Ovis aries: one gene and its partners. The protein of the gene in region 4 purifies or fractionates together with the protein of the main gene of each other region. This does not show direct contact. Links are inferred from orthologs where the notes say so. Each region holds a gene or a part of one and is shown on either strand. Other genes may lie near its edges.

Evidence for each region.
Region 1: the proteins of OGT (region 4) and SIN3A purify together in Homo sapiens (affinity purification with western blotting; 4 studies listed by BioGRID, with this or other methods). This does not show direct contact. The link is inferred for Ovis aries from reciprocal best matches to the Homo sapiens genes OGT and SIN3A.
Region 2: the proteins of OGT (region 4) and DIDO1 purify together in Homo sapiens (affinity purification with mass spectrometry; 3 studies listed by BioGRID and IntAct, with this or other methods). This does not show direct contact. The link is inferred for Ovis aries from reciprocal best matches to the Homo sapiens genes OGT and DIDO1.
Region 3: the proteins of OGT (region 4) and SETD1A purify together in Homo sapiens (affinity purification with mass spectrometry; 4 studies listed by BioGRID and IntAct, with this or other methods). This does not show direct contact. The link is inferred for Ovis aries from reciprocal best matches to the Homo sapiens genes OGT and SETD1A.
Region 5: the proteins of OGT (region 4) and CXXC1 purify together in Homo sapiens (affinity purification with mass spectrometry; 3 studies listed by BioGRID and IntAct, with this or other methods). This does not show direct contact. The link is inferred for Ovis aries from reciprocal best matches to the Homo sapiens genes OGT and CXXC1.

What each region holds. Positions count from the first base shown.
Region 1 is NC_056071.1:31,038,030-31,042,055, forward strand, and holds the start of SIN3A (paired amphipathic helix protein Sin3a), read left to right. Parts: upstream 1-1,224; 5' UTR 1,225-1,564; intron 1,565-4,026. UniProt on the Homo sapiens protein: Acts as a transcriptional repressor. Corepressor for REST. Interacts with MXI1 to repress MYC responsive genes and antagonize MYC oncogenic activities. Also interacts with MXD1-MAX heterodimers to repress transcription by tethering SIN3A to DNA.
Region 2 is NC_056066.1:54,193,706-54,197,219, forward strand, and holds part of DIDO1 (death-inducer obliterator 1), read left to right. Parts: intron 1-857; 5' UTR 858-1,012; coding exon 1,013-1,031; intron 1,032-1,757; exon of another isoform or gene 1,758-1,888; intron 1,889-2,365; coding exon 2,366-3,203; intron 3,204-3,514. UniProt on the Homo sapiens protein: Putative transcription factor, weakly pro-apoptotic when overexpressed. Tumor suppressor. Required for early embryonic stem cell development.
Region 3 is NC_056077.1:27,630,511-27,634,024, reverse strand, and holds part of SETD1A (histone-lysine N-methyltransferase SETD1A), read right to left. Parts: intron 3,128-3,514; coding exon 2,955-3,127; intron 2,863-2,954; coding exon 2,752-2,862; intron 2,572-2,751; coding exon 2,452-2,571; intron 740-2,451; coding exon 602-739; intron 508-601; coding exon 334-507; 3' UTR 1-333. UniProt on the Homo sapiens protein: Histone methyltransferase that catalyzes methyl group transfer from S-adenosyl-L-methionine to the epsilon-amino group of 'Lys-4' of histone H3 (H3K4) via a non-processive mechanism.
Region 4 is NC_056080.1:64,200,097-64,204,128, forward strand, and holds the start of OGT (UDP-N-acetylglucosamine--peptide N-acetylglucosaminyltransferase 110 kDa subunit), read left to right. Parts: upstream 1-1,225; 5' UTR 1,226-1,421; coding exon 1,422-1,458; intron 1,459-4,032. UniProt on the Homo sapiens protein: Catalyzes the transfer of a single N-acetylglucosamine from UDP-GlcNAc to a serine or threonine residue in cytoplasmic and nuclear proteins resulting in their modification with a beta-linked N-acetylglucosamine (O-GlcNAc).
Region 5 is NC_056076.1:50,259,443-50,262,488, reverse strand, and holds the end of CXXC1 (CXXC-type zinc finger protein 1), read left to right. Parts: intron 1-181; coding exon 182-289; intron 290-412; coding exon 413-597; intron 598-860; coding exon 861-1,068; intron 1,069-1,150; coding exon 1,151-1,261; intron 1,262-1,389; coding exon 1,390-1,439; intron 1,440-1,556; coding exon 1,557-2,001; intron 2,002-2,122; coding exon 2,123-2,269; 3' UTR 2,270-2,544; downstream 2,545-3,046. UniProt on the Homo sapiens protein: Transcriptional activator that exhibits a unique DNA binding specificity for CpG unmethylated motifs with a preference for CpGG.

The DNA of each region.
Region 1 (4,026 bases), on a different chromosome or scaffold from region 4:
AAAAAAAAAAAATTACAAATGATCCAGGGAAGCATCTGAGTCCGAATTTTGACTTTAGGGCTGCTGAAAGTAGGAAGGGTTTCTGGATTGGGGGACCAGGAGAGACAAGAAACATCTTGGCTCCCTCCACCTACCCCTCCCACCAGAAGATGTACCTCTGTAGTCTTCAAACCAGTCATTACAAGCCTTTCTGCCTCCCCTTGCCACTTGCAGTCACCCTTCTTTCAGCCCACCCTCAGAATTCATCCAGCTGCTGGGATGTTGAGCATCTTAAATGGTAGTTCTGGGCCTGTGGTCCTGTGACCCAGCATGCTGCTTGTACATTCTGCTATACAAGTCTAAGTATTTTAACAAGGTAGAAAAGTCTTTGCTCTCTGACTCCATCTTTCCAACTCTGGTTTTCGTTACTATAGCCACACTTGAAGAAGCTTTTAATACTGCTTTGCATTTATCATTTTGTGTGCTTTGCTGAAAATGAGTTAATTGCCCCTCCGTTTCTGCGTGAGTGCCACCTCCTCCATGAAGTCTTCACCCAGTTTTCCTCAGCTAGAAGACTCTCCCTGCTCTGAGCCTCTGGAGGTGTCTCTATATACATTTCCAAATTGCCTTAGCTCTTTCTGTATCCTCTCTTCAGCTAGGTCTGAAGCCCTAAGAGGACACAGAGTGAGCATCTCATTCAGTTTCTGTAATGGCAAAAAGCAGCAGGTGCGGTGTGAATGTGTCTGCCTCACCCCTGTAGGTGCTCAGGCAAGTGCCTGTTACCCCGAAGGCAGGACTTCCCGCTTACACCGCTCAGTTTTTAGGCAGGCGCCGGACACGGTTAGGTTACACAGCCAGGGGAGTCGGGACATTCCAGTCAGTCGCTAGGGTATCCTCACCCGCTCTCTCTGCCCAGTTCCAAATGGGGTGTGTGTAAGAAGGATATGGGGGCCGGGTAGCCTCAATAGCTCCTCCTCCAGGTTCACCCAGCGAATCTCCGAGTCCCAGGAGGTCTCCTTCCAGTCCAAGGGCCTCAAGTAACTCCAAGCGGCGGTGCGGTAGAGATGGGGCCCTCTGCCATGGTTGCACCTCCCACTCACAGCTAGTTTAATTAATTTATTTCTATTTTTTGGAGGGAGGGGGCGTTCAATGAAGGGGAAGAGGTGGAGCAAGGGGAGGAGGCGGGCCCAGGATGACTGACGCGAGCACCAGGGAGCCAATGGCCCGTGGGGGGCGTTCCCCCCCATTCAGGACTCCTCGCCTGGCTCGGAAGGTATGTTAAACAGCTGCTTTTAATTTGGTCTCCCCAATCTCGGGCGTTTGGGGGGCTTGTTTGCCGGCCGGTCCCTTTGACCAGTCAGCCATGGTGCAGGCGCCGCGGGCCCTGGGACGGAGCTAGGGGAGGCTTGGAGTCCGGCGGCCGAGGGAGGCGAGGGGCAGGCCAGGAAGGAGAGCTCTTGGCGCCGCCCGCTCGCCAGTGTGTTTCCAAGCCGGGCCAGATCCGCGGGGAGGGGGTCGGCCCGACCCGGGGTCTCCAGTGTGCCGGCCGTGCTGCCTAGTTTATTTCACCGAGCGGTCGGTTTCGGTAGGTTTCGGCGGCGGGCTGGGTAAGGGGCCGGCAGGAGGAGATCCCTCGCCCTGCTGGAATGCCTTTAAAAATTATTGTAAAGAAGAAAAAAGGGGAGATTCCGTACACCGACTGGAACCGGGCCCGAGATGCGGCGCGCGGGCTCGGCAGGGGGCGGCGGCCTGAGCTCAGCCGGCCGGGCCCACCAAACCGCCCGGAGTTGGTCGAGAGCTGGAGTTAGCGAGCGAGCCCAGGCCCGCAGCTTTCCCCGCTAACCACGCTGGGCGAGGGCGGCAGCCGCCCAAGGGTTTTGTTTCTGTCCGCAAACTTGTCGGAGGGGGCGGTGGGCGCGCTCAGAAGAGGCGCGGGCTCCTTGGGCCCGCGGTTGTTATGGACTCTGGGGGCGGGGGCAACGCCGGACTTGCGGGAGGGGCGGTCGGGGGCGGGGGAGGCCACCGGAAAGAGCCCCAGCGCCTCGGCAGTAGACCCATGCGCCGGTCTGAGCTCTCCGAACTCCCGGGCCGTGGCAGGAGAGCTAGCGTTCGGCGCCGGAACCCGGCCCGGGGGTGTGGAAAACCTCCAGGAACTCGGCGGCTTCGACCCGCAGCCCCAGCTGATCCCTTTGCAAACATGGAGCTGCCTCCTTCCCCGCCCACCCCAAGGCGGCGACGGCGGCTCCTTTCCCCTCCCCCTGCCGTGCTGCTCGCCCGCGGAAGGGGCGGGGGCGGGGGCACCGGCGAGTGAGCGCGCCCACGAGGGGGTAGCCTGAAAGGGGCAGTGAAGGTCGGAAACTGGGCAAACAGTCTCCACGCTCGAAATCGGGAAAAGGAAATGCATCAGCGGGCGGGAGGGGCGCGGGAGGCGCGCCTGTCAGTCGGGATGGCGGCCGCGGGCTGGGGGGCGGGGCGCCGGCGCGAACCGCGGAGGTCGGGCGGGGCGACGCCAGGAGAGGAGGCGCAGGGGCCCGGCCCTTGGAGCGCCAGACTACCCCAGCTTCCACTCCTTGGCCTAGCCTGTTTACTATACTCCGGCGACGGCTTGTGCAACCGGCCTGGAGGCGAGCTGAGGGGCGGGGCCTTCCCTCCTCTCTTCCACCCGTCTCGGGCTTCTTCAGAGTGCCCGCCTTCTCTTGTTTTCCACTGGCTGGGCGAGGCTCCCTTTTTTCCTGCTCGGTTGTTGATTGGATGACATTCTTCCCAGCTCCGCCTATCGGAGGCCGGGCTGGAGTTTAAGTTGCTAGGATTTTTTTCCGTGAAGGGCGGAGGGAGGATTCCTGCGGCTTACGTGAGGCGCAAGGGTCCGCCCCTACTTCTGATTGGTGAGGTGGATAGTCCCGCCCCCTACGGGGGAGCGAGCTTGGAGAGGGAAGTCCACCCCTGTTCCCCGCCCCCTACCCTAGCGTGTGTGCGCGCTCAGCACATGTGTAAGGCGCGCCTTGCTCCTTCGAACAGTCCTCCCGCCCGGAAGTCCCGGGCTTGGAGCTCTTGGCAAGGGGGGCAGGGAGAGCCGAGAAAGGCACACGATGTTTCCTCCAAGGCTCGAGATCTGGTAGCCTTCGCTTTGAAGTTAGGGGTTGACGGTGTAGGGTGGCTTTGGGGGGCTTTGCTCCTGTGGTTCTGCAAGGGTTGGGAGGAGGGGGTGTGGTCTGTCCTTCCTCGCCAAGTACTAAAGTTCTGACCCTGCATCCTGGCTTTTCTTGCGACTCAACTTCCCGGAGACCGCCCTAAGCCTAGCTTCAGAACGCTGCGGACGCTGCCAGTGTGTTTTCTTTCCAGCATAAGGCAGCCGCTGTCCTTACTAAGCTTTATCAAAACCTCTGAGCAACCTAGGGTTGCCGTGGATGCTTTAGGCAATATCCAGGGCAGCTCATCCCCTGCTGACAGAGAAGTCGAGAGTGGCCCAATTCTGCTAGAGTTCCAAATGGTTCTTGATGTCCAGGTGGGAATGCCGTGTGGCACCCAGTGCAAGGAGAGGAGGAAGACCCAGTTCTGCATATTTGCCGCTTCTTCGTAACCTCCTAGAGGTTTGGGCTGGGGGTCTCGTTTGTTTCGTCCGTGTTACTTATTTTTTGAGCTCCGTCCTGGGGCAGGGTTTGGCTCCCAGGGAGATTGTTCCCATCTGTCGGCTATTGATGAAGTTCAGTTCGCTGCCTTCCGGTTTGGAGTCCGGCCCACCTGTTGCCAGCGCTCATTTCTTGGGGTCTCCGGCGGATTACGGAGGAAGGACAAGAAAGGACCTGGGAGTGAGCTACCTGGGGCCTGCCTCTCGGATACGGACTCGGCTCTCTTAGGGGAGTAGCTTTTTTGCGGAAGAGAGCGGGAAAACTCTAGTCCCGCCCCCTCCTCTCCTGGCGCTCCGTGAGCGCCCCCCAAAGCAAGGCCAGCGTCAGTTCGCCCTATTTAGTGAATAAATAAAAGCCACCTAGATATCGCTAGCATCTCGTCTGTGTTCAAGGCCATATTACCTAAACAGAGAGGGCC
Region 2 (3,514 bases), on a different chromosome or scaffold from region 4:
TTCCCACTTGAAAGAGTTGCAGTGCGATGGACTCTGTCCCTTTAAGAGGAGGCGGGATGGAATGTTTGTCCTGAGGTCACTAAGGAGACCACAGTTAACAGGGGAGGCAGTTGGAGTGAGGCGAGGAAGAGGTGAGGCGAGGCGCAGGCAGGGGTCTTGGGTATAGAATGTGAAATGTGTTAAAATGTTAATACTGAGAATTTACCTAGAATCAGAAACGTGTTTGTGGACCATTTAGGTATGATGATTGAATGAGGAGACAGGAGGAGAAATGTTCTTTAAATGCATAAATACACAAGGATAAGCTGTACCACAGGGATGTCCAGTAATTATTAATCTTCTGAAATCTTTATTAGGTTTTTTAACTAAAATGACGACATAGCTACAGTGTTAAGAATTTCTAAATAATTGCTTTCATGTATAATTTTCTTGTTCATCTTTTCATGTTTTGTTCCTGATTCTCCCTCTGGTTTTTATTGGCCTGGGTCCATCAGAAGTAGGGTTGTAATTAGGAAGCAGCTGATGCCAGTGACTGATTTTGGAATCCTCCCTCCCACCCACTGAGCCCTCTGCACTCGACCACCAGCTCCCTCTACCAGGGTGCCAGCCATGGCCTGTCCCAGCCCCTGCTTTCATCGTGTAGTCAAAAGTATACATCTTCCCTTTTTAAAAAAAAGTCCTTGTTGGGGGGCCGTATTTGTGGACTGGGCGAATGTTTCTGTAGGTCGCATAATGTAGACTTAAGAGATTGCTTGGAAAGTTTTGTGCCTTTTTTTCCCTTAAATGTGATTTTAGTTCTGGTTGCTTTAGATCTTTAAACTGTTTTTTTTGTTTGTTTGTTTGTTTGTTTGTTTTAGGAGTTTACTCCGTGGACACAGTCTCAAGATAATTTACCTTGTGATCTGTGAACAGTGGCTGACGACAGCAGCACTGGGGGCCTGGCGCTTTCCTTGTGCCTCGAGGTTGTAACGGCCCTGTTTGTGCTGGGTTTAGGAAGTCGGAAGAAGTGCCCATGCTTCTGTGTGGGGCAGGTAACAATGGCAGTAGTGTTGACATCTTACTGACCAGAGATGTACTGATGCATCTTTTGTTATCCAAATGTTATTTACCAGAGACATTTCAGTATTCACTTACATAACAAATTATTAGCCACAGTTTTGTTTTTGCAAAACTCCCACAGTTGATAATATGTTAAATGCCAACAACACAATTTTAAGTTCTGATGTCATGTTTTTATTTCAAAAGTGGCATAATATATGTATAAAAACTGGTGTACCATTAATATTTGTTTGAGATATTCTAAACTTTAGCTCAAGAGTGTCTAATCAATCATTAAATTGAGTGTTCCTTTAGCTTACAATGACGTGCATTCTTGCTGGTGAAGGCTGTATCTTGTGGAGGAGAGTCCTTCCTGCAGAAAGCCTTGGGTGACCAGGACAGTGATGTGGCCCTCGAGGGCACGATGTCACAGAGTGGGTGCTGATGTCACAGAGCGTGGGCCAAGGCCCGGAGTGGGGAGCTGCTGGTCCGGATGGTGGTTGGGAGGTGACACCACTTGGTGGGAACCTAACAGAGAGTTCCGTGGTGTGTGACTTTGAATTTTGTGTATTTTCTGTTTGAAGGTTTTCATTTTGTACGAGTCCTTCCCCTGGGATGGAACGTGGCATAAAATCTGAGTTATCATTAGCATTTAAATGTAATTGAAGCCTGTACAGCTTGGGGAAAAAATTCTTAAGGTATATACTGTATTTTTTCAGGCTTTTTTCATTTGAAATAAGGACAAAGTTTTCACAAACCGGAGCCTTTAATAATCTCTTAGGAGAGAGAAGAAATAGACACACGAGGTGCCATCTGGCTCAGTTGACACAGTCTCGGCTCTAGGATCTGGGTGGGTTCAGTGGGGCTGGGTGTTCAGGGTGCAAACGAGCCCGTCTCCACCCTTCCCCTGCTGGGTGGTGGACATCTCACACTGCCTGGGGCTCCAGAGTTCTGGGCCTAGAGCAAGCCAGGTGGGAGGTGGGCCCATGTCTCCCTGTGGGGAGCCAGAAAGCCCCTGCTGCCCTATCCTGCCCTGTCCTGGCAGCACCACTGCCCAATTCCTCATTCTTGACTTCCGGTATACATGCTTGTCCTCAGAAGTCAGGGGACATGTTCATAGAGGTAGTTTGCTTGCTGGGTTTTCCTCCTGAGCATGGGGTTCGTAACTGAATCCTCCCACACTGTAGAAGCATTTTTGCTTTCTGTAGGTCGGGTTCTCCCGTGTGTGAGGGAGTGCCCCCTTTGCTTGCTTGTAGCTGATGAGTGTCAGGCCCGGACCATAGCCCTGGCTGATGCCTGACATGGCCTGCTTGTGTTTCCTTGTCAGGTATGGACGACAAGGGTGACCCGAGCAGTGAGGAGGCGCCCAAAGCCATCAAGCCCACCAGCAAGGAGTTCCGGAAGACATGGGGCTTCCGGAGGACCACCATTGCTAAGCGTGAGGGTGCCGGGGATGCGGAGGCGGACACCTTGGAGCCGTCGCCCCGGCAGCAGCAAAGTCCATCTCTGCGGCGCAGTGGGCGGCAGCCGAAGCGCACTGAGCGGGTGGAGGAGTTTCTGACCACTGTGCGGCGCCGTGGCCGTCGGAGTGCCCCCGTGTCCCTGGAGGACTCTGGGGAGCCAGCATCCTGTCCAGCGACAGACGCGGAGACCGCCTCTGAAGGCAGTGTGGAGAGCGCCTCGGACGGAAAGAGTGGGCCCAGGTCCAGCTCCACGGGTGCTAAGCAGCGGCCGGCCTCCTCGGCAAAGGCTAGAGAGGGCGAAGACGAGGACGACACGTCCGACAGCGATAGCGACGGACTGACCTTGAAGGAACTCCAGAACCGCCTGCGGAAGAAGCGTGAGCAGGAGCCCGCGGACCGGCCCGCAAGGGGCATCCAGAACCGCCTGCGGAGGAAACGGCGGGAGGAGGACCCGGCTGAGACCGTGGACGTCCAGGCGGGTGATGCGATGGAGGGCTCGCTGCCCACCTCACGGGAGCCTGAGGGCGACCTGGGGGCTGCTGCCCAGGCAGTGAAAGAGGACAGAGAGGGCCGGCCGGATGGGAGAGTGGCCCCGGGAGGGAGAGCCGAGGAAGCCGCAGACTTGGTCCGGCACAAGCCGGAGTGTGAGGTGTACGACCCCAGCGCCCTGTACTGCCTGTGCCGCCAGCCTCACAACAACAGGTGGGTCATGGGGGAGGGGTGGGGGCAGAGCCAGGGAAACTGCCAGAGACTTCACTGTTCTCTTAAGAGAGTTTTAAGCTGGCCTGAATGAGTGACTTGTTCATTGGGAAAGACGAGCAAGTCATTGTCAGAAAGAAACCAGTGGAGTGGGCGGGCACTACCCAGAACCATGCCCTTGCCAGGTGGTGGCTGGTGTGGAATGTTGGCTGCCTGGTCACACCAGCCATGGCAGTGAATGGGTGCGATGGCTTGCACCAGAGTGGGTCTGCTGCCCAAGAGAGCCCTCGGGACGCTGCTTGGACTGGCTGTGA
Region 3 (3,514 bases), on a different chromosome or scaffold from region 4:
CATGGGGGCTGGGAGGCCCCCCAAGAACAGGATCTGTACAGGCCGGCACCCCAGGTTTCCACAGGAAACAGCTGCTGGCAGCTACAAAACATTTACAGCTTCTTCTCCGCAAAGAAAAAAAATTGGGGGGGGGGGGGGGGGGGCAGGGGCAAGAGAGGGCCCGCAGAAGGTGCCTCACGGGACTCAGGCCCCCTCGCTGGGCTCAGGGCCCCCAAGCCCACATTCCAAGAGGGGGCAGGTGGGCCCCACTGAGCCCACTAAGGCTGGGAGCGCTGGGAGCTCAGGGCGGCGAGGGGGAATAAATAGGGGTGAGGGCACCAGTCCTGCCCCACCTCAGTTGAGGGAGCCGCGGCAGCTCTCCGTGCCGCACAGACACGGGATCTTGTTGTCCTCCAGGGGGAACTTGTAGTCGTAGGTGATCTCCTCATCCACACCAATCGGCTGCTTCGAGTAGATTACGATCTTCTTCTGGGACTCGATGGTGATCACCTTGGCATAGCAGTTGGGCTGCAGGCCGAGGGGCGCATCAGTGGCAGCTGCCCCCCGCCCCAGCTCCCGCCCCACCCCCTCCCGCCGCCCCTGCCCGGCCCCGTCCTCGCACCGTGCAGCAGTGGTTGATGAACCTCGCCAGGTTGCCGCACTTGGTGGCGTCGATGATGGTGTCATGGTCTACCCGGAACAGGTAGCTGCTGCCAATGCCCTCTTGCACATAGCGCTTCTCCCGCATGTCAGCCACCATCTAACGAGACAGAGGGTGATGGTCAGGGGGCTGCCCCTCAGCTTCCTGCCAGGCCAGGCTGGACTCCACTGGCCCCTGCGATCAGGGGTCTGGACACTCCCCCAGCTGCCAGCCTGGGAGCCACGCCAGCCTGTCCTGAATCCACAGATCTCCCTCTAGCACCCGCTACCTCAAAGCGCTGACTTCTGACTTTGCTTCCAGGACTTCCTCTGATGAACACCTCCCAATACCCTTGGCTGCTGTTATGACAGAGGCACCCAGAGGAAGGAACCCAAGGAAGTCTGCACTGACCACAGGGCAGGAGAAGCAGCCACTGGCTCCTCCCAGGGGAGTCTGCCTGACCCATGGGGGAGTCCCCAGACTCTCAGAGGCTGGGACGGTTCCTGAGATGTCAGTGGTTATTTCACGGACTGAACCCTACTCTTCTCCCAGGACCCTCTTTCCACATCGGGACCTACGGCTCCCGCTGTCTGCCATCAGGGCCCACATTTTCATGTGAGGAGTAACTCGTTTCCCAGTAAACAGCCGGATAAACCCTCTGCACTCTCCCCTTGGGCAAACTCACTCTCTTCCAGGCCTTCGAGAGCCAGTTAAGTGGGGGGACTCCTCCCAAACTCCTCTCTCCAGCCAAAATCCACCTCAGTGGAACTGCTGGGCGTCACCCATGAGACATCCCCCGGGCACTGTCCTGACCAGAGGCCTCTGACCACACACCCGCTCCGCCTCTTTGCTGGCAGCCTTTCCTACTCCCAGCTGCTAAAGGCAGTGCCCGGAGAAACCGTCTTGCCTCAGCCCTTGCCTTCCATCTTCAGAATCAACTGGTTGACTGGTTCCGCCAGCTACTTGAAACCCACTGCCCGTTCAGGCCACCCCTACCTTCAGCCTGGATCTCTGCAACAGCCCCACCCTGTTCTCCACATGGCAGTCAGATGGAGGTTATTAACCTCCAAATCCTCTCCTGCTTACTGCTTCACGGCAACTTTTCTCACCATCGGTCCAATCTCATTAACATGGCTCCCAAGCTCTGTGGCGTCTGGCCTCCACTGGCCCGAGTTTTCCCAGTGACCTGCTTGTGCTCCTAGGACCATCCTGCCTCCAGGCCTTTGCCTATGCCTCCTACATGGGGGAGCGTCCTGCCCTCTAACTGGGGCCTGGAATGCCTCAGCATCATTCAGCTTCTGGTGTAAACGTCATTCCTGCTGCCCTTGCCCCCCTGAACACCTCCTTTCATACCAACTGAACATCATTCTTCACTGGAGTACCTGTTCAGTACCTGTCTTGCTCACTAAACTGTGAGGTCTTTAAGGGAGACATAATATTCATCTTATTTGTTACTGGATCACTAACATCTAGTTTACTAGCTGCTGTTGTTTAATTGCTCAGTCATGTCTGACTCTTGTGACCCCAGCCTGCCAGGCTCCTCTGTCCATGAGATTTCCCAGGCAAGAATACTGTAGTGGGTTGCCATTTCCTTCTCCAGGGGATCTTCCCAATTCAGGGATGGAACCTACGTCTCCTGCACTGCAGGCGGATTCTTTACTGCTGAGCCACCAGGGAAGCTAGTTTACTAGTACCCGTGAATAGCTGTTGAAGGAAGGAAGGGGAACAAAACAGGCAGGTGTCACTGGCTAAGTCTGGGAGCCAGGTGAGAGCATGGGCTTTCACCCAAAGGCTGGGTGGTTCTCGTGTTAGGTCAGGGGCTGAAGCCTCACCTGGCGAATGTTCTGACCCACGTATTCGATGACCATCTCATCAGCGGCGATGGGTTCCATGGCAAACAGTCCCCACTCGTGGATCCGGCTCCGGCCGAATCGGAGCTTCTTCTTCCGGAACTAGAGGGCAGAAGGCAGATTGTGCCACTGGGAATCCCCTTCAACCCAGCCGCTGGCCACTCCTCAGACCTCTGGGGCAGAAGTGTTCTGGCCACTTGTGCCCAGACCACCCCTAGGAGTCTCCGTGATGCCACCTTCCCACAGTGCCCCTGCCCTCCTCAACTCCCACTCCTCCCTCACCTTGAGCTGGTTTAACTTCAGCAGATCGCTGTCCATGATGGCAGAAGTGCCGATGGCGCTCAGCAGCCGCCGCTGCTCCGACCGGCGCTCCGAAAGCACACGGTTAGTCCCCTGCAAGGAGCAGGCCAGGGAGGAGGTAAGTGACATGAAAACTCATGGAAAGAAAATGCTGCCACTGGGCAGGTACCCAGGCAGAGACTCACCTGAGTATCCACTCCTTCCAGCTGCCGGGCTGAGACAGGGCACACATCCAGGTACCGGTCCTTCTCCTTCTTGCTGATGGGGTAGTAGCCTTCGCTGCGGGCTGAGCCTGTCTGGTGTTCCCGGGGCCCATCTTGGGGCCGCCGCTTGCGTTTCGGAGTGCTCAGGTTGGTGAGTGCAGGGTGTCAAGGAAGAGAACGGGGGTGCTCCCCAGTCAGATCCCTGGGGCTCTGCTCCCCTCTGTCCCTGCCCCCCACCACCACACCCCCAGCCCAGTCCCAGTCCCAGCCCCAGCCCCAGCCCCAGCCCCAGCCCATGGAAAGGGTGACTGACTGGCCTTAGCTGGAGGTCCTGAGCTTACTCACTGTTAAGACAGAAGGACAGACAGAAATGTCTTAGACTCCACCTTTTCTGCCACCAAAACATCAAAAGGCAGAAAACAGGCATGAAGCAGAGAGAAATGGTGACTTGGCAGCCAGAGAAGAAATACCCAAGCTGAACGTGGCAGAGAACAGGACAGGGACTGAGGTAAACACAGACCCAGGAATGATCGCAGGAGGGC
Region 4 (4,032 bases):
GATCATAAAGAACTGATTTGTTCAAGGAAGCGCAGCAGTTTAGTCTCTAGATGTGTGGTTTAGGTAGATGGCAAATGAATCAATTTATCATTGTTGAGCTGCCTTGAGTTAAATGGTATCACTGATTGTAACAATTCACAAAGCAATGTGGTGGAAATGAAGTCAACTCGGAAGGGTCATGGATTTTGAAGAATATGAATCTTTAACAGTTTTATGGCTGCTGCCTTTGCAGTGCAAACTGTCAGCATGTCCCTGAGTTGTGAAGCATTTGCCGTAATACTGTGGGCAAAATTATCGTGAAACCAAGAGGATTTGGAACTTTTGGGCTATATGGCCAAAATCTGAGATGCTTGGGTTCATTTGGCCCTGAGAAACTCAATCCTTTTAATCAAAGTGCTTAAACCAATGGCTGGAATCAGAACTAACACGTGTTCAAATTGGAACTCTCTCTTTTGAATTCTAGACTTTGAAAATATAACCATTTAGATTTACTTGCTCAGAATTGATTCATCATCTTTCAACTATACGAATGAAGTTGATGAAACCTGTATACGCCTTTGGCATTCCTATTAAAATCTATGCTCTTTGCTAAGTAGTAGACTATACCATGGAGAAGGCAATGGCAACCCACTCCAGTACTCTTGCCTGGAAAATCCCATGGACGGAGGAGCCTGGTGGGATGCAGTCCACGGGTTCGCTGGGAGTCGGACACGACTGAGCAACTTCACGTTCACTTTTCATTTTCGTGCATTGGAGAAGGAAATGGCAACCCACTCCAGTGTTCTTGCCTGGAGAATCCCAGGGACGGGGGAGCGTGGTGGGCTGCCGTCTATGGGGTCGCACGGAGTCGGACACGACTGAAGCGACTTAGCAGCAGCAGCAGCAGCAGCAGCAGCAGCAGCAGACTATACCACTGGCAAAAGTGTCATTCAAGTGTATAGTTTCTTTTAAACCATCCGCTTCGCTAGTAAAAAAAACTTGGTGGCTCCTGTCCCAGACAGTGCCCTAACAGCCAGTCGGGCTGACACGGCTGCTCGCATGCGCTCTAGACATAATCGTGTTTGTCGCAATGGGCCCTGCGCGGAAGGTTACATAGGAGCGATTGACTTTGATTATAGTCATTTTGTTGGTAGCACTGGTTACCGCGCTACTTCCGCGCTGGTACTTGATTGTAACAGAAAGTAGTTCCGGTCCGTGTTGTTTCGGCCGAGGAGCCGTCGCCGCCATTTCAAGACCGTGAGAGGTAGATGGCCAACCAGAGTTCTAGGGTTCGAAAGCTGTAACTGTTGCTGCTGCTTAAGCCTGCCAAAGCACTGGTACGGCTGCTGCCCTCGTGCTCCTACCTCTAGAAACATTATTGCCAGTAGTGGCGGCTGCAGGATTCAATCACCCCCTTCTTGCACTCGCTCTAGAAGCTCCAGATGGCGTCTTCCGTGGGCAACGTGGCCGACAGCACAGGTACCGGTGTCTGTTCTACTTTGGCAGACGCCCCCTTGGGGTCTCGCGCCGTCCTCTGCCTCTCATCACTCCCTCCCCTCTGGCCATCCCCATTGCATCAGTGGCATCGCTAAGCTTTTCGGCGTCTAGCGGCATCTGATCTGGGTTTTCTGCTGTCGTCCGTTCCTAAAACATTTTCTCTCGCTTGCTTGCTTTTTGCTTCCTTTCTTGCTTTGTAATCCTATACATTTTCTAGCCTTCTGCTCTCTCGGGACCCTTCTACACCTGCGCGCTTAGACTGTCTCAGAATGGACTGCATTGGAATCCCTGCCCTTCTCGCTGCCTTTCATTCTCCTTCGCAGTCGTTTTCTCCCCAGTTCAGCTCACCGCCCCCTTCTCTTCCCCCTCCACCCCGCTCCCTTTAGCCCGATTTGGTGGTCCTCTGTCAATCTAGGGCGGAGGTGCCGTTCCAATGTAATCGTATCCTCACTTTGCATCACCCCAAGGACGAGCGCAAGCTCCTGGGTGCGCTCCGAGTAACCTCTCCAGCAGGGGATTTTGAGCAGCACCGCGCCTGGCAGCGCCTGTGTGCTGTGCCTTGGGTTGAGCGGCCCCGGTTTCGATTGGAAATTTCCAGGGGTTTCTTTTGCCATCTCCCAATTCCACTCGCTGCCCCCAGCCTGGATTTCCCACCCTGTCCTCCCTCCGCTCCCGCGGGGAGCCACACCCTTTCCTTCGCGTGGTTGCCAGCCCTGCGGTCCGTTTCCTACCCTCGGGGAGAAACCACTCTAGTGCGGGGGCTTCGGCGTTGACCATCCTGCCCGCCCAATTCTCGCTTTGTGTTACTTTGTCCTTGTATTCCTCCGCCGCCGTCTGTCTCTGGGTCTTCCATCCCCATTCTTTAGCCCGGTATTTCTTTATTCATAGGGGGTATATTTTTTTGAGTTTTCATCCCTGCTTGAAGAGTTTGTAAAGCAACTGGAGTGTAGCTGCACAAGTGCAAGGCGGTTGCCCTTTTAGACAATTAGTCTGAGAGCATTTAGTACTAAAAATAAGAAAACTCCAAATTATAGGGGTGTCCTTCAGCTGCCTTTCCGTATTGAGGCTGTTTGGGGCGGGAGGGAGGGGGGATTGGGCTGCGGTTCTAAGGTTTCCCACGAGGTTATTTTTTTGTTGGTTTCTCAGTTGAGATGTCAAGGGTTTTATTGTTCTTGGACATTGTGCACTAAGAGATGAATCTTCAATTGTATCTTATATTTGACTGTAGGTAGTGAGATTGGTAGTGTTCCCCTCTCGCTCAGGGATTTTTTTTTAAAGATTTAAGAGTCTGTCCTAGATTCTCTTGTTCTAGCTTGCCCTTTTCTTTCTTTTTTGGCCGCACCATGCGGCTTGCGGGATCTTAGTTCCCCGGACCAGGCATGGAACCTGTGCCCCCTGCATTGGGAGCGCATAGTCTTAACCGCTAGACTACCAATGAAGCCCCTGCTTGCCCTTTTCTGCCTGTTATTTTATTTGAGAAAGTTGTCATTTCTAGTGTTAAAATAGCAGATAGGCGGCTTTTGAAAAGTTGATAAAGTATGGGTTAAAAATAAGGAGCAAGGAAGGGAGTTCTAGAGACTTGTTTAAAATAGATAGAGTGAATAGTGAAGTCGCTCAGTCGTGTCCGACTCTTTGCGACCCCATGGACTGTAGCCTATCAGGCTCCTCCGTCCATGGGATTTTCCAGGCAAGAGTGCTGGAGTGGATTGCCATTTCCTTCTCCAGGGGATCTTCCCGACCCGGGAATCGAACCCGGGTCTCCCTCATTGCAGGCAGACGCTTTACCATCTGAGCCATCAGGGAAGCCCCAAAATAAATGGGACCGAATTGAACAGAAGCAGAGTGAGCTGGGAAACAATAGCAGTCTGGAATTCTCCAGGCCGGAATACTGGAGTGGGTAGCCTTTCCCTTCTCCAGGGGATCTTCTCAACCCAGGGATCGAACCCAGGTTCCCCACATTGCAGGCAGATTCTTTACCAGCTGAGCCACAAGGGAAGCCCATAAGAGGTATAACCGTCCACAAATGTGGATGCAGGTCTCTCTGCTCTTAACGTTAGTGGTCAGCTAGCTGTGCCTTGTTAGGAAATTTACTTTACTTTCCTGAGTATACAGTTCATTTGCCAGGTCTAATGATTGAGGGTCTAGGCTCAATATTAGCTTCTCACTTGGAGCTTGGTAGAATTTAAGTATTTAATTTGTAGAAAGTTTCTTACTCTGTCTCCTGGAAGTACTGTGGTCAAATTCCCAAGTAATGTATCATTGTTAAAGTATTTACACTTGAGACTTAGGCAGCTTGTTGTTGTTTTCCATCTCTGGGCTTTAGCTGTATATTCTTTATCTTTTTGTATCTGAACAAAGTTACACACAGCAAAGTACATTCATTTATTATTAATTTAGTTGCACTTTATTGAATGGTTTTATATTTTAGCATTTCTCCATTCTTTAAAAAATTCATTGCAGTTGTAGGTTTATACAGGGTTGTTTGCAGTGTTTTAGTCCTTTTAGTCAGTATCAGAGCTCTTTAGAAAATGCTAGTGTTAAACCATCGTGGGTGGG
Region 5 (3,046 bases), on a different chromosome or scaffold from region 4:
CCCAGCATTAGGGTCTTTTCAAACGAGTCAGTTCTTCGCATCAAGTAGAGGTTACAGAAGCAGAGAGTATCCGTAATGAGGAGAGAGGAGGCAGAGGGTATGGAAGGTTGATGTGGGGACTGAGTAGGTCGTGGGGAGGTCACCAGGAGCGCAGGACAATCAGCGTTTGCCTCACTGGCAGCCCTGGATGAGCGACACGGAGGAGTCCCAGTACCTGGACCCAGCGCTGCGGAAGAGGGCGGTGAAAGTGAAGCACGTGAAGCGGCGGGAGAAGAAGTCTGAGAAGAAGGTGACAGGGCGCAGTGGGTGTGAGGAGGGAAAGGTCAGGGCCTGACGGGCTGGGGCACCGGGGGTGTCAGGGGTCCAGAGATGCCTTCAGCCCTGCCCTGACCCCACGCGTGTCGTCCCACAGAAGGACGAAAGATACAAGCGCCATCGACAGAAGCAGAAGCACAAGGACAAATGGAAACACCCAGAGCGGGCTGACGCCAAGGACCCCGCGTCGCTGCCGCAGTGCCTGGGGCCTGGTTGCGTGCGCGCCGCCCAGCCCGGCTCCAAGTATTGCTCCGACGACTGCGGCATGAAGCTGGCGGCCAAGTGAGTCATTTTGGGGGTGTCGGGGAGGACACGGTAGGGCATGACCGGAGCCCCCAGTCGGTCACGTGGCCACCGTTCAGTCAACCAAGCACCCACCTGTCCGTCCACCTGCTCACGCACCCATCCTCTGTCTGCCCGTTCATTCCCCTGGTTACGCACCCTTTCACCCTTGAGTCCCCTTCCATCCTGCATCGGAGGACCCCACTTACCCGCCTCCTTGCTGGCTTCCTCCCCTGCGCACCGAATTCCCCACGTCCCTGTAGCCGCATCTACGAGATCCTCCCGCAGCGCATCCAGCAGTGGCAGCAGAGCCCGTGCATCGCCGAGGAGCACGGCAAGAAGCTGCTCGAGCGCATCCGCCGGGAGCAGCAGAGCGCGCGCACCCGCCTCCAGGAGATGGAGCGCCGCTTCCACGAGCTCGAGGCCATCATCCTGCGCGCCAAGCAGCAGGCGGTGCGCGAGGACGAGGAGGTGAGGGCCGCGGCCGCGGCAGCCCGGCGCGGGGCCGCGTGCCTGGCCCTGTCTGGCCTCATGGTCCCCTCCGCCCGCGCAGAGCAATGAGGGCGACAGTGACGACACGGACCTGCAGATCTTCTGCGTCTCCTGCGGGCACCCCATCAACCCACGCGTTGCCTTGCGCCACATGGAGCGCTGCTACGCCAAGGTCAGGGTGTCGGCCCAAGGGGGTGGACAGTGTGGGGACATCGTGGGGTCCGTGGGGAGCAGGTGGGCCGTCTGGCGAGGGCCCGCAGCGCACACCCACAGTTCCCTCGTTTGTGCTCGCCCCTCCAGTACGAGAGCCAGACGTCCTTTGGGTCCATGTACCCCACCCGCATCGAGGGGTGAGTGTGGGCGCGTGCGGGGTGAGCGCGGGGTTACGGCGGGGTCGGTGGCCGCCGCCGGTGCAGGCGGGGGCGCTGCTGTCCTCCTCTTCCACGCCCTCCGCTCCACACCCCCAGGGCCACACGGCTCTTCTGTGATGTCTACAACCCTCAGAGCAAGACGTACTGTAAGCGGCTCCAGGTGCTATGCCCCGAGCACTCACGGGACCCCAAAGTAAGGCTTTCCCATCCCCGCTCCCTTCCTCTGCCCATGTTTGCCCCTTCCACTGCCCGGCCTCCTCACCGTCATCCCTCTCTTTTCTGGGGCACCCCTTCCTTGCATTCCTCTCTTCCCTCTGCCCGCCTCTTGGTTCCTTCCCACTCTCCTCCGAACTTGCAACTTCCCCCACCCACCCCGGCCTCCCTGCAGGTGCCAGCTGACGAGGTATGCGGGTGCCCCCTCGTAAGGGATGTTTTTGAGCTCACGGGTGACTTCTGCCGCCTGCCCAAGCGCCAGTGCAACCGGCACTACTGCTGGGAGAAGCTGCGGCGCGCCGAGGTGGACCTGGAGCGTGTGCGCGTGGTAGGTCTTGACTGCGTGCTAGGCCCTGACCGTGGATGTGCGGCTGCCAATGTGGATGCGGCCGCGGTTGGGTGGAGCGGGGCTCCAGAGCTGCTTCTTAAGGCTTCTGCTCCCCACGCAGTGGTACAAGCTGGACGAGCTGTTTGAACAGGAGCGCAACGTTCGCACAGCCATGACCAACCGGGCGGGCTTACTGGCCCTGATGCTGCACCAAACCATCCAGCACGACCCACTCACCACCGACCTGCGGTCAAACGCCGAGCGCTGAGCCTCGGCGGCCCACACGTCCTCTCTACCTGCACTGTGGGTGGGCCCGGCCCTGGACCCCCGTTTGTCTGGTCTGCGGTTCATGTTTCTCCGACGGTCCCCGAGTCCCTGTGCCCATCCGTCCACCATCTGACTGCCTGTCTGCCCTTACCAGAGGGCCTTGGAATTTCACATCTCTCCGTTCTCTGTGCCTGGGTGGGACTGTGGAGTCTGCTCACCCGTGCCTCCCCGAACTCTGGTTTTGTTAATAAAATTTTGATGAAACAAAAAAGATAACTGTTGGTGGTCTCCAAACTTTTCAGTTGCAAATACGTTCCCATGGTCCTAGAGTAGAGGGGCGCACCTGTGTTTCAGAGTGGCTGTGTACAGGTGTAGACTGCACGAGGCTGCACATATTCAGCTGGCGCCCATTTGGTGCTCTGCAGGCCCCACCTTGGGCGTGGGGATCTGGCTTGCTGAATGAGAGTCCAGTGACCTCCACTGCCATCTTGTTATTGTGAGACTAGGTGTTTGATCAGCATTCCTTCCATGAATGGCTGATTTATCATTCCTATGTGAACAGGAATCTTCTTACTCTTACGCATATTCTCCAGACCAGAGTTGTATTAAATGATGGACACAAGGCCTTCCTCTTCCCTGCAAAGCCCTCTCTTGGGGTGCACATACACCAGGAGCGCCCCCCACACCACCCCCAATGTCAGGGCCAGTCAGCGCCAGGCACTGCCTTTCCAGGATGGATGCACCCTGGTGGGTTCCACGGACCTGGCCTTTTATCTGC